3 linked regions of the Zea mays genome follow. The protein of the gene in region 3 binds, or shares a complex with, the protein of the main gene of each other region. Links are inferred from orthologs where the notes say so. Each region holds a gene or a part of one and is shown on either strand. Other genes may lie near its edges.

Region 1 (4,253 bases), on a different chromosome or scaffold from region 3:
GTATATATGTATATACGTTTTTTAAAATAAAAAATATAATCGTGTCGGGTTGGGCCAATACTATGGGCTGAGGCTACAACTCAAGCACATCACGGCGTTCTTGGCTCTTGTAAGCATTAGGTCGTTTCTGAGACCACATTGGCGCAATGGACTCCATGGTGTTTGAGGTTGCTGAATTGGATGGAGCAACAATGATGTGCCACACTAACAGTAAAATGAAAGGTTATTTGTTGGTTCTAAACGTTAGTAATTGCTACGAAGTAGCATAATTTATATGGAACACATCCAGTTTTTATTGATGCCTGACTTTAGCAACCACTCTATATTTTGATCTATCTTTTTTATAAGTTTGAGTTCATGTGACTTATTTTAGAAACTTGAGCTTACAAACTTTCTCTTATTTGGTCTCTGTATATAGGAATTATGTCATTCTATAATCTATGTTCGTTCAGTCAGTCGTTATGAACTCTCTTATAATCGCTCATTTCATTGGTTGTGTTGTACCAAGACATACTGGATGGAGTAAACAATAACATCAGTTAGCCAAATCAAAAAAACATTATACGGAGAGCAGAGACAAATAATAAAAAATCTTGATATTTTTATGGATTTACGTGGGTATTGTTGTAAGCCGTCGCAACGCACGGGTAACCGACTAGTATTAGTAATAATTGAGTTATATCTATGAATTTTAAGCCTTCTCACGTTGAGCGCAACAAAATATTTAATGAATAATTAGCCAACCTACTTATTCAAAAATAATTACTATTGTATTGTATCATAAGTAGTATTGTGCAAATTAAAGAATGATCCAAATTTTGTGTCGGGTGTGGGTCACCCATGGTTGAAATAGAAACCTGCATAACACTCGTGAAACTTTGAGTCGAGTCTGGGGTGCACTCACGGGTTAAAATTTTTACCTGTACCCGCACCCGTCGGGTTGGGTACGTGTCGAGTTTCGGGTTTGCGGGTTAAATTGCCATCCCTACATAAAAGTGTAGGGGGGAGGAAAGACATGAGTATGCTCACATCCGATCGTTTTGATGGAGCAGAGACATCTCAATTATTTATGATATATTTTTATACGGAGACTATAAGAGTCGCTTTACTCTCTTTCATTAGAAACCAAACATCTACAAAAAATAGAACTGGATTGGTTCCATTCGCATCCACTCTTTTACCAAACACATCCTAATATATGTACTTGGTGGAGTAATTTAGTCCTCGTTTCATGGTTGCTTTTTTTTTTTTTTGCTAAAATTTACGCTTCTCATGGCATACAGCCAGTTGAATTTGTTCCAGCCAAGCAAAACATAGCTGGGCTATTTTGAGTACAAACCGGCCCAAATAAAACATGGGATTAACTAAAAGCCTACGGCCCAAACTTTTCGCAAAGCTTCACCGTTTAAAACCGAAACCTGACCTGCGGGCTGCAGCAGCGTCCGCTCCAAAACGCAACGGTCGAATCTCCTCGAATTCGAATTGCAGCCGGTGCCACCCACCTCACATGGCGGCGGCGGAAGAGATGATGGCGGTGCTGGACAAGGAGACGCTGGCGCTGATGGGTCTGGGCAACGCCGCCGCCGCGGTGGTTGCCGAGTGCGAGAAGTTCAAGGAGAACGCGAGGCCGCTCAAGCGCGGGCGCGACGTGTCCAAACTCAACCACGCGCTCAAGGCACACGCCGATCCCGCCCAGCGCGCCACTCTTCTCGAAGCCCGAAAGTACGTTTCCTTCTCCAGTCTTTCGCCCAGCAATGGGGGAAAAGGAGTTGTGGTTTTGTAACTTTTGTTTGCTCTGGATTTCTTTTTCTTGGGCCTGGGTCTGTGGGGAGGAGACAAGTTGCTGCAGTAATGCAAATATATATCATGTGTGTTCATCGTTCGGTTCATTTGCTTGATCCAGGAAGCTGATTGAGGCAATCTACGAGTACCAAGGCGAGGATCCGCTCCAACCGTGGCTGGAGTAAGTTTTTCTCATAGCCCCTTTAACTCGCCTTTTTCGATTTCTTGGTTCGTGCCAGGACTGGTAGCTGTTCTAGCAGATAGATTGTTCATTTCTTCTCTGATTCGTCCGCGTGCAGCTGCATCAAGTGGGTGCAGGAGTATTTTCCGACCGGCGGCGAGTGCTCAGGGTTGGTGGTGTTGTACGAGCAGTGCGTGCGGACCTTATTGGACGACGAGCGCTACAAGGACGACCTCCGCTTCCTCAAAGTGTGGCTGGAATACGTGAGTGATGCTTTGCCAGCTTGATTGTTTTTCTCTGTAGTTTGTGTCAGTGCAGTGGAGGCACCTCATATATCATTCCGCTGCCGATCTTGTCCTTTTTGCAGGCGGGGAACTGTGCTGATGCTGAGGTAATATACAGGTTCCTGGAGGCCAACCAGATTGGGCAGGGCCATGCGATCTACTACATGTCTTACGCATCGTTGCTGGAGTCAAAGAACAAGTTGAGGAAAGCTAATGAGATCTTTGACCTTGGTATAGCTAGGTGAGATTTTCTTTAGATCAGCACGTTTGTTCATATAAAGCTCCTGAGTTTTAAATTGTTAGGTAGATCATGCTGTTGTACTATATATCCGATCCAAAAATTGTGTCCTATAATGGACATGGAGTACATATATGCTCCTGTGTTTGATTTTCGTACATAACAAGAGTCAATGATGGTACAAAAATGAGGCTGATGTTATACTGAATCAGTTTTCCTTCTTTGTTTTATTTTCATGATCACTTCTAATTTGATACATTCTAACGAATTAGAAATAAAAAGTTCCTTTTAGTTTCTAGTTCGCAAACGTAAAATGAAAAAAAAATCTCAGTCTTCTACTTCCTATTCTTTAAGATTTGACACTCCTTTGACTAGTTATGCCACTATCTTCTTGTAAATGATACAACACTCGGAATTGTTTTACTTATCATGGTTTCTGCTTACCTCTTTTGTTATGGTTAGTTGTGCATTGGTTTTAATACTTGATTAATCCATGTGAATGTATGAAGTTTCTTATATTCGATTTTTTATTGTCAGAAAAGCGAAGCCTCTGGAGAAGTTGGAAGCTGTATACAGGGCATTTCTTCGAAGATCAATCAAAAAGAGGGAACAAGAGGTTTGCTATTCAAATTACAGCAGTGTTTATTTATCTTGAAGCCAATACCTCAGTTGAATGACTTCTTTCTTTTCCTGTAGCAGGATGATACAGTAGATGATGATCTGCCAAAACGCAGTTTCGGGAATAACTTGAAACGAGATGAAAACAGTAAGCTTGTTCAGTTTTACTCTGATTTAGCATGAACTTCGAGTGGCTGCAACCTAATACATATGCAAACATGGCAGGAAATCAGCAAGCAGGGAACTCCCACCTGGGGAGACCAAGGGCACTGCAGAGGTCAGTACCTGTATGATGTGACAGATGTAAAATATCCATCTAAACCTGGAGTTTTTTTTCCTCATCATGTCACTGATTATGCCTTTGCACACTTGCGGAATCGATGCTAACAGGCCGCTTTCAGTTTACAAAGATGAAAGTCCATTACCAAATCAGGGCCTTGACAGAGTGAGGAGCAAAGAAAATAACACAAGTTGGCGCGTCCTCGGAACACGAGCAGAACGGAACAAGGAAAATAACATGATGCCTGCTAAATGGACGTCTCACAAGGTACTTTTGCCATGCCATTTAGGATTCTCTGAAGTGGCCCATGTGAGACTTGCACCGAGGACAACTATTCAGTAACGAACTTGTGGTAACACTGCATTGTTGTTGTACAGATTCCACAGAAGTTAGGAGCAAGAGGAGCGGTTCAATCAACCCGAGCCAGTTGTTCCATTGAAGTCTTCGTCGAGGAAGACTGCACACAGTATGTTATTTAACATGCTAGTGTTACTCTTTTCTTTTTTGAGATTGTTCAAAGTTACTACAAAAACATATATGTCTAAATAGACTCTTTTTTTCCCCTTTGGATTGCTGTAGGGAACCTGCTCGGCCGGTGCCAAAGAGCCCAAATCCTTCTGTTCTGAAGCTCAGGCAAACAACAAGCAAAAGCCTTAAGAAGTAAGTACAGCATAGCTCTTGTAGCTTCGGGTATTTGGGAAACTATTGTCAGCAGTTCCCTAACCTCTGCGGTCTTTTCTTTGGAGCAGGGAGACTGAATTGCTCAAGGAGAACCCGCTGCGCAACTTCCCCCTGAGCAGGCTTAGGTAATCAGCATCTTGCTGGTTCTGAGAAACATCTCGTACGTTATGATTTGGTCGTATGTATGGT
Region 2 (3,943 bases), on a different chromosome or scaffold from region 3:
GATTCCGTTTTTGAAAAAATACTGTTACCGGTGAATCCGATCGAAAAATTTCGAAATCGGTTTCCAGAATACCGAAAAATTCCGAAACCGTTTTCATCCCGAGTAGTGTGTCAGTTCTGCAGTGTCTGATGACGTTGGGCGCCTTCCCGTTGCAGATATCGAGGTCAGAGCCGAGCTCGGGCGAGGTGGTAGTCCGTCCGAGATCGCGACTGAGCCCATTCTGAGATTCGAAAACGTGTGCCACAGTTGAAGGAGTGGCCTCCTGCGGGGTTCATGGGGAGTAGGTAGCCGAGACCGGGCTCGAGCGAGCCGAGTTTATCCCGAGGCCGAGTTCTACTTCGGGCGAAACGAAGTTTACGCCCGAGGGCTAGCCTGTACCCTTGTCGTATTGTATGTCCCGTCAGGAGTTGGCAGACGGCGTACAGGAACAGTGGTCGCATGCGTAATCATAGTTGGTGAATCTTTGACTAGACTGTGGTCTTGTTACTCCTGCACACCTGCAGCCCTATGTGGGTTAGGTATGCGCATTGAATGTTGTTGTCCCCGGCAGACTTCAGCTGAGTCTCGCCCTGGGTTTTGTCTCCCTTACCCGAGGTGGGCTCGGGCGAGGCGGAGACTGTCGTTCTGGGGTGAGGGGACCTCGACCGGGACGAGGATTCTCTCGAGAACACACCCCGTCCGAGGACAGGCTCGGGCGAGGCGGAGTCTGTGGAGACCCCTGAGGGGGGCCTTGGGCGAAGCGCGGCTTACGATCCTTCGTACCTTGATGGTGTTTTTAGTGGTTAAGTGTGTTTTAGGGGTGTAATCTGAGTACGCCTAATTACCACACCCGACACCGCCTGTTTTCACCGGAAAACCGGATTTAATGACATGATTGAGTTCTAGTTTAATCATTTAGTGCCCAGATTTGGTTTTGTGATGTTTAGGGTTTTAGATTTTTTTTACATCATCAAAAGTTAGGTGTATTGTAGCCTACTAGTTATATATTAGTACTATTAATATATAGTTATATATGTTAGTATTTAGTTATATATATGTTAGTATTGTTAATATATGTGTAGTGTGTAGGTCCATTTGTTCGTGTTAATACATAGTTCTATGCTAAGACCTAACTCATTTGCTTGTGTCATGTTAATATTTAGTTATTGTCAGATGGTTTATGTTTTTGTTAGTAAATATGTTTCGATGTTTTATGTTAATATGCCATTTGCTACAAGTTATATGTTTTTATTCTACTCTTGTTACATGATATTATGTCTTCTTATTTATAGGAGGCATGTCGGACATTGTCTAGGAGCATGGAGAGAAGGTTAGCACGGGTTTCAAGAGAAAATATTGTAGAGAAACTAAGAGCGGAGGGGGTGGTACACGTTTGAAGGAGCATCTCGCACATAAAAAAGATCATCAAATCGAAGGGGGAAGAAGAGGGACATCTCGCACATAGGGGGTGGTACCCGTTTCGACCATTCTATGTTGTTGTCGAGATGCATGTATATGTAACTACAAGCAGATCGGTGTGTTATTTTTGCTTCGACAATAGGTATTTATTTATCGTTCTTGTTTTATCGCTAATGTATCTCATATCATTGTATAGGACTACGTATACGGAATGGGCCCATACCAGGATCCTTCCAACATGCCTGAATACTATGACTCGAGCTGAATAAAGAGTATTGTGAAACAAGTAGACATATGTATCGTGGCCTCGTGGGAGAACTCTAAAAGAACTTGTATAATTGTATTTGAGTATTGTGCCATCCGATGGTTGTTTGTTGCATGAGAATTGAAGTTTGTGGTTGCATATGTATGTTGAATATCATTTTGGTGAACATATGTTGTGTGAGTCAGTTAGTATTTACTATGCAACGTGAATTGAGCAAATTACAAATGAACTCTGCCAAAATTTTCCATTTTTCCCTGAAAACAAAAAAATGATTCATATGGGTGGTTTACCAGCGGCATTGGGTGGTTTACCGCCGGTTTTTCGCCGTAAAACCATTTTGAATTTGTTCAAATTTGACATGGGCAAACCGGTTGATTTTGTCGGTTTTCACCGGTTTACCCATTACCCGTGGGTAGCAGTTTTCTCCAAAAACGGTTTGGTTATCCTTGACCCAAACACATGTCTAAGCTCATTCCATTATGTACATGGATTTTTAGAAGAGGAAAATCAGACCTATAAGCAGCCTAATTAAGACCGAAATCAAGGTCTCACACATGGCAGCCTCGCAAGAATTTGAATAAGAAATCAACATATACTAGTGCATCCCAGTTCAATCCCACAGGGGTACTGGTAGGCATGAGTAACCAGACCCTGAATCGCGGAGGTAGAGCCGCGCAAGCTAAACTAAACGTCCAAATTGCACATGCTTTACATTCAATCAAACGGCGGAACCTTCAGACACGCACAAGCACACGCACGGACGCACCGCACCCGTGCACTAAGCGAGCTCCCACACGGATTCGCACACGCTAAATGAATCCAAGTAACAGAGGCATATCTCGAGGTAGATTCGAGATTACCTGAGGTACGGGAGGATGGGGTCCGAGGGCGGCGAGGCCACCTCCCACGAAAACCTAGGCGACTTCGGGAGCGGGCTACAGGCGGCCCCCTGCGCCGCGGCCGGAGTGCGGTCCAGGATCACCATGCCCCGATACAGAGAGCCTCTCCCCTCTCGGACGAACCCTGCGGCGATCGCCGGCGACGAGCAGCTCTGCAATTTGCTCTCGCGCGTGTGTGAGGCTGAGCCGTGGACAGCACTGGAGGGCAAATATTTGGCACCCAAAAAATTTGAAAAAGAATCGCCCCGCAGCTAAGTGGCCAGTGCCCACTCGTCAGGACCCAAATATTTCCCCTACTACTTTAGACTGTATGCAGTAGTGTCCTTTAAATTTTTTCCCCTAAATGTTACTATATAGTCACGTCAGCAAGATTCACTCTCCTATATTCACTTATCCCGCAACTATTCTCCCTAAAAATTCTCATATATATATCCCTCTACTCATTAAATATACATTTCCATATAACTAACATAACCAAATTCATTTTCTTTTTCCTTTTTTCCTTTTCACACGTCCGGCATGTTGCGATGTTATAAATTTATAAAAAAAATATATTTATTTTTTTACAAATTATGCATAATATACAAAACAAACATTTGAGTTAAAATTTATTTCGAAATTGCATACAAAACTTCACAATTGTGCGTCGTCATAATTATTGAGAAACATTGCGATGTAAAAAATTGAACCAAGCTTACGTTGGAAGCAGACACCGACCATTCGTACGCAGGAAGCCACGGTTGGCTTCCAACGAAAGCCACGAGCTTTCCCCTGAAGCCACATTGATCTCGCCTATATATATGCATACTTTCTCTTCGCATATGTAGCCACAACGAACACAACTCCAGCAAGTTAGCCATTGTTCGGTATGTCTCACTGGCATAGGGAAGATGATTCCGATTCGAGTGATAGTGAGGACGACACACTTTTGCTTGTCAATCTTCTTACCCTCAACATTGAGGCTAAACGCCATCTCCGACGATGTTCCGGTATACCTCGCCGCATCATTCACAGGGATCATTTTGCTGGAGAAAATCTCATCCAGCATCACTACTTCGGCCCGAACCCAGTGTATCCACCCACGTGTTTCGTAGAAGGTACGCACTTCAAATTATTGTAATATGTTATGACATTATCATTGTATTCACAATGAACCTATTAAATTTTATAGGTTCGGCATGAGTAGGCCGTTGTTCATCCGCATTATGGAAGGACTGCAACAGCAGGATAGTTACTTTACGCAACGGGTGGACGCAACAGGCATGCTAGGACTCGGGCCCCTACAAAAAGTATGTGCGGCAATGCGGATACTTGGTTATGGGTTACCTACTGATGCGGTAGACGAGTACATTCAAATTGGGGAGTCAACCGCTAGGGAATG
Region 3 (5,559 bases):
TGGGCTACTCCAAACGATTTTGTCAACGGATTCGGAGTGGTCGTCCCTGATGTTGATCTCATATGAAATCCTTTACTATCAGCTTCTTTCACCTTTTCCCGCAAAGCTTTGCTCTTGTTGGGATCGTTTTGCAATGACATACAACGTGCAATTTGTGCTTTTTTACCAGGTAATGGACCAAGCAAATGAACACGAACTCTAGTTAAACTTCCTTTGTACGATTTCTTGCAATGTTTACACTGCCACTCCTTTGTTCCACCAACATTTTTTCCACTCGGAACACCAATAATATTAATTTCATCTAGAAGTGGATGTTTCGTACCAGTAGCCGCAGCTCCATCTTCGTCACCACTGTCTGCGTCTGCACCACCATCTTGGATATCTACAGGCACCTCATGGACGACTTGCACATCATCATCTTCTTTTTCATCCGCACGCTTTCTTTTGCTTGAAGAACCGAAAACCATGTCTACGTTGAGGTTTGAGTTGGGTTGTGGTGCTGTACTGCTGTGCATCAGTGGATGGAGTTCTATTTAAATAGCAGGCAGTACGCGGTCGGCTCCCTGCCTAATCACTTAACGCGCTCCAGACATGGATAATCCCTTCCTCTTCTTACGCGCTCCATGCCTAACCCCTCAGCTTCCTGCGACCTTGGACGGACCGACGGATCTCCTCCACTGCGAGCGCGAATGCGCGACTCCTCCACTGCGAGCGCGAGTGCGCGACTCCTCCACTGCACCGCGACGGCGCGACCTCCTCCACTGCGCGATTTCTCTTCCCCACTGCGCTCTTCCTCTTCCAGTCTTCCCCACTGCGCGATTCCTCTTCCTCTTCCCCACCACGCGATTCCTCTGCGCGATTCCTCTGCCTCTTCTACCCACTGCGCGATTCCTCCGCCTCTTCCGGTGATCCGGTCTTCCCCACTGCGCGGCGGCGACGGCAGCGTCCCAGCGCGGCGGCCGGACAACGCCCGCATCGCCCCAGCGCGGCGGCCAAGCGCGGCGGCCAAGCGCGGCGGCCGGCAACGCCCGCAACGTCCCAGAGCGTCGTCCCAGCGCGACGGCCAAGCGCGGCGGCGCGGCGGCCAAGCACGGCGGGGCGACTTCCTAAGGTAAGCGTTCCTACCTTCTATAAACGGCGTTCCGCGAGCGTTTCTTGTAGTGTTCCCCTTCGTTCCCGTTCCTCGTTTCGGGACGAAATTCCGGGAACGCGGAACGCGCCATCGTTCCCCGTTCCCTGTCACTAAGGGTTGGACCTCATGTTAAAAATCCTACAAAATCTCACTACAATGCTCAATTCCATAGGAATTTTATAGGATTTGTAGCAATTCAATCCTTTGTTCCAAAGGACCACATAGAAAATTTTTCCATAGAGTTTTAATCCTTCAAAATTCCTCCACTTTTTCTTTGTTCCAAAGGAGGCCTTATCTCTGTATTCAAATTCCTGCACACCATCCAAAGGCAGGTGGAAAATTTTCCTGCATTCGCAGTTCCTGTAGGATTGCAATTCATAGCCAACTCTAATCCATTGTTTTTCCTATTCCTGTGTTTTCACATTCCTGTGTTCCAAAGGGGCCCTAAATACAGTTAGTTGAGTGCGCTCGAGTGAGGTCCGGGGAAGGAATAACCGAGGCAAGCCTTACCTCTGCATTTTTGCAGAGAGCCGGTGTCAAACTCAAGACTTTTGGCTCAGTGGGGAGGCATCTCACCACTGCGCCAGGCCTGTCCTTCTGATATATACTATGTGAAAGCTACTAATTTATTCCCTCTGTTCCAAATTATAAGAAGCTTACTTTTTCTAGTCGGGCTGGTCGCCTGTTAACAGCCGATTAGCCGGACGACTCGATTAGGGAGCCTGGTCGTCCCGATCGTCCGATTAGTTGACGATAAGGGCGATTAGTCGTCCGTTTTTCCAGTTTCTGGTCGTTGGTGCTAGGATTTTTGTGTTGGGCTACAGGACCAATGTTTTCGCTCATCTACAAGAACATAAGTTCCGCCTCTCCTCTCCTCTGCTAAAACCCTAAGGCTGCCTAAACCCTGCATGTATCCCTCTGTCGGGCGGCTGCTCCAGAGGTCCAGATCACCGGCGTCTCCACTCTCCAGCACTAGTGATCCCCTCTGCCTGAACTCCCGATCACCGGCAGCTGCTCGCCTGCTCCAGTCACATGTGCCCCTTTGCCTGCTCGCCTGCTCCACAGCTCCAGTTCATAACTCTAGAGTCCAGATCACCGGTGGGCGACGGCTGCTCCAGATCACCAGCGTCTCCAGCACCAGTGACAAGATGAGTTCGTCATCTCAAGGTTCCCCCTGCTCCCTCCCTCCATCTCTGTAGTTCTGTTCTGTCTGTGTCTCCCACCAGTGATCAAACACTAATGGCTGTTGCTGCTCTAATCCTAAGCCGACTGCTGATAGTGACTTGTACCTCTGCCTGTTATTTTGTATATCCTGCTGTTTATACCTATATAAGTATAAATACCAGTCTAAAAGGTCTAGGACGATCAGGGACCGACTAGGACCGACTAGGGGTCGACTAATCGCCCTGGTCGTCGCCTAATCGCGACTAGTCGCCTGGTCGTCCCCAGTGTTCGACCAGGTGACCAGGCGACCAGGCGACTTGAAATCATTGCTAGATACATTGATTTTATAATTTGGAACAGAGGGAGTAACTTGCAACATTTCTCTTGTGTGCCATGCTTCTGCTAGCTTCAAAGTTCTTGTTATATTTGACAGTTAGGTCATGGGGATTACTCTGCTTCAAGCACAAAAGTACTGCGCATGATGAATACTCTTGGAGTCGACAATGAAGCCAAGCAGACAATAGAAGTACTGCAAGCTGAGCTAAAGAAAACAAAAGAGAGGCTGCAAGCAGTTGAAGAACTGAAAGGACAAACTGGTACGAGCTACATTATTTGTAATTTTTATGATCCTGTGGATTTCTATTTTAATTTATTTTCATATGTAAAAACTTGTTTACTGCTTCTGCTTACTGTAGTCTACATTGTATTTGCTAAGGGGTTTGTGTTTGGAGTATCTGCTTAATATAACAAAAGTTACAAGATAACCCTTAGTGACAAGGTTCCCGGAACGTTGGGAACGAGGAACGGGAACGAGGAACGCGGTACGTCTGTTAAAGCAACATGGAACGTTGAGGGGTATACAGCTGATCCACGTTCATTCGATGCGTGGAACGTGTTCCCAACGATTTAGGAACGCAGTTAGGGAACGATTGTAATGGAACATGGAACGATGCATAATTGAAACAACCAATGACACGTACATAATATATAATATATGTATATATAATTGATAATGATGGGATCCCGATAATGATAAGTCATAGTGTCTTAGCTTATTTATATATATATATATATATATATATATATATATATATATATATATATATATATATAACGGTAACGATAATCACTTTCTTGCAAAGCTTAGATAGAAGAGTCTTCTGGATCAATGTCCCATTTAGCATGTGCGCCATGTTTGTAGCCATCTGTTGATCTTGACAAAAGTCGCAAATTGGAGTGAATGAAGACTAATTTATCTGCAGTGGTAGTGTTCATCCTATTGCGCTTGGTGTTATGGATATGGCTGAATGTGCTCCAAATTCTCTCGGCCGATGAACTGCTGATGGGTTGAGATAAAACTTTTTTTGCAACCTCAGCTAAATCTGGAGTCTCAGAACCATAACTTACCCACCATTCAATCGGCTCCATGGTAAATGCATCCAATTGAACGGGTGGCAGCGCAAACATTCCCTTCTTCATAATAAAAGCATTAAATTGCTCCCTCAAAACTTGTTGTTCCCTTGGAGAATCTGCAATTTTACTAAAAGCTTCAAGCACATTAGTCATAACCTCCTTATCTGTATTAGGAGCTTGCCTTATGGTGCCACCAGGAGCTGGGGTGTTGAGGTATTGTTGATGATAAAATTTTGGGCATAAGGCATATGCTAAGCAATGAAGGGGAAGATTCATCTTCTCCCAACGGCGCATAACGATACTTTCAACCTCAACAAAATCATCTTTATGCGGGTTATCATCTTTTGTCATTATATCTTTTATTTCACCAACCATGCAATCCATTCTCTCGTAGATTTCTCCCATCTTTGGACCTTCTCCATCACTAAACCTTAATACGGAGTATATTGGCTCTGTGATAGCAATTATATTTTCAGCCTCCATCCAAAAGCTGTCATCATTTATTGTTAGGACAATGACCCTTGCTTGGTGCTTCACATCATTAGTGCAAGTATTTACCCAATCTTTCCACTGCCTTGTGACTACTGTGGTGGCAAGTGCTTCTCTACATGTTATGAGTCTTTGAAGCAATATGTAATGTGAAGCAAATCGAGTTTTTTTCACCTTAAGTAGGTCCAAACGAGAGTTGGTTCTAAACATTGCCAAACAATGGCAATGATTCTGAAAAAACTTGACAATTGCTTTTCCAGTCTTATATGTGTCAAGCATCCATGGAAATTTCACAGCAAAATCCTTGAATATAAGGTTTAGCGTGTGAACAACGCATGGGGCCCAAAAAATGTGCTTATGCACCTGTAATCAAACAAAATATGATTAGGGAAAATCCAAGATAAAAAACACTTGAAGGACAAAATATGTGACTTACTTTTTCAATTTCTTTTCCAGCTGCTTTGCAATTAGCAGCATTGTCCGTTACCACTTGAAGGACATTTCCTGGTCCAATTTCATCAATAGCCTTCAAGAGATATTGTGCAATAGCTTCACCGGTTTTTTCAACTCCAGAGAAATCTTCTGCATATAAGAAACATGAACCTCGACTGTTCGACGCAATCACATTGATTAGGGGCTTGTTTTTTATATCTGTCCATCCATCGGACACAACCGAAACACCTTGTGTCAACCTAATGCATGATTAAAAGTGAGTTTTTGGAGAAAAAATCATACAATGAAAAGACAATAAAATTAAGAACTTACCATGTACTTTTAAGTGGTGCTAAGTCGGTCTCCACACTTCTCTTGCATGCATCTAGGAGAGTTGTCCTTGCCTTTTCACTCGACGGACCTTTATAATCTTTTGGACCATTTTTTATTGCCATTATCATTTGTGAAAATTGAGGGCTCCTCAACACATTGAATGGAATACCGTTGGCACATAAAAATTTGGTAATTTCCATATCGACAGACTCCCTTTGGGCTACTCCAAACGATTTTGTCAACGGATTCGGAGTGGTCGTCCCTGATGTTGATCTCATATGAAATCCTTTACTATCAGCTTCTTTCACCTTTTCCCGCAAAGCTTTGCTCTTGTTGGGATCGTTTTGCAATGACATACAACGTGCAATTTGTGCTTTTTTACCAGGTAATGGACCAAGCAAATGAACACGAACTCTAGTTAAACTTCCTTTGTACGATTTCTTGCAATGTTTACACTGCCACTCCTTTGTTCCACCAACATTTTTTCCACTCGGAACACCAATAATATTAATTTCATCTAGAAGTGGATGTTTCGTACCAGTAGCCGCAGCTCCATCTTCGTCACCACTGTCTGCGTCTGCACCACCATCTTGGAT

Evidence for each region. The genes of interacting proteins can lie anywhere in the genome.
Region 1: Mitotic spindle checkpoint protein MAD1 (region 3) and Mitotic spindle checkpoint protein BUBR1 share a complex: the UniProt entries of both Arabidopsis thaliana proteins name them as parts of the mitotic checkpoint complex. The link is inferred for Zea mays from reciprocal best matches to the Arabidopsis thaliana genes MAD1 and BUBR1.
Region 2: Mitotic spindle checkpoint protein MAD1 (region 3) and uncharacterized protein LOC100194273 share a complex: the UniProt entries of both Arabidopsis thaliana proteins name them as parts of the mitotic checkpoint complex. The link is inferred for Zea mays from reciprocal best matches to the Arabidopsis thaliana genes MAD1 and AT2G20635.

The regions. Positions count from the first base shown.
Region 1 is NC_050100.1:126,593,402-126,597,654, reverse strand, and holds the start of Mitotic spindle checkpoint protein BUBR1, read left to right. Parts: upstream 1-1,453; 5' UTR 1,454-1,507; coding exon 1,508-1,722; intron 1,723-1,903; coding exon 1,904-1,963; intron 1,964-2,081; coding exon 2,082-2,226; intron 2,227-2,330; coding exon 2,331-2,488; intron 2,489-3,022; coding exon 3,023-3,101; intron 3,102-3,181; coding exon of another isoform or gene 3,182-3,184; coding exon 3,185-3,251; intron 3,252-3,328; coding exon 3,329-3,380; intron 3,381-3,493; coding exon 3,494-3,650; intron 3,651-3,760; coding exon 3,761-3,849; intron 3,850-3,962; coding exon 3,963-4,043; intron 4,044-4,132; coding exon 4,133-4,193; 3' UTR 4,194-4,253. UniProt on the Arabidopsis thaliana protein: Essential component of the mitotic checkpoint. Required for normal mitosis progression. The mitotic checkpoint delays anaphase until all chromosomes are properly attached to the mitotic spindle.
Region 2 is NC_050102.1:160,976,201-160,980,143, reverse strand, and holds the start of uncharacterized protein LOC100194273, read right to left. Parts: upstream 2,801-3,943; 5' UTR 2,649-2,800; coding exon 2,524-2,648; intron 1-2,523. UniProt on the Arabidopsis thaliana protein: Serine/threonine-protein kinase that performs 2 crucial functions during mitosis: it is essential for spindle-assembly checkpoint signaling and for correct chromosome alignment. Has a key role in the assembly of checkpoint proteins at the kinetochore.
Region 3 is NC_050098.1:177,131,589-177,137,147, reverse strand, and holds part of Mitotic spindle checkpoint protein MAD1, read left to right. Parts: intron 1-2,729; coding exon 2,730-2,892; intron 2,893-3,395; exon of another isoform or gene 3,396-3,439; coding exon of another isoform or gene 3,440-4,561; intron 4,562-4,634; coding exon of another isoform or gene 4,635-4,890; intron 4,891-4,963; coding exon of another isoform or gene 4,964-5,559. Other genes in the region: uncharacterized protein, read right to left, coding at 3,440-4,561, 4,635-4,890, 4,964-5,559. UniProt on the Arabidopsis thaliana protein: Required for the execution of the mitotic checkpoint which monitors the process of kinetochore-spindle attachment and delays the onset of anaphase when this process is not complete.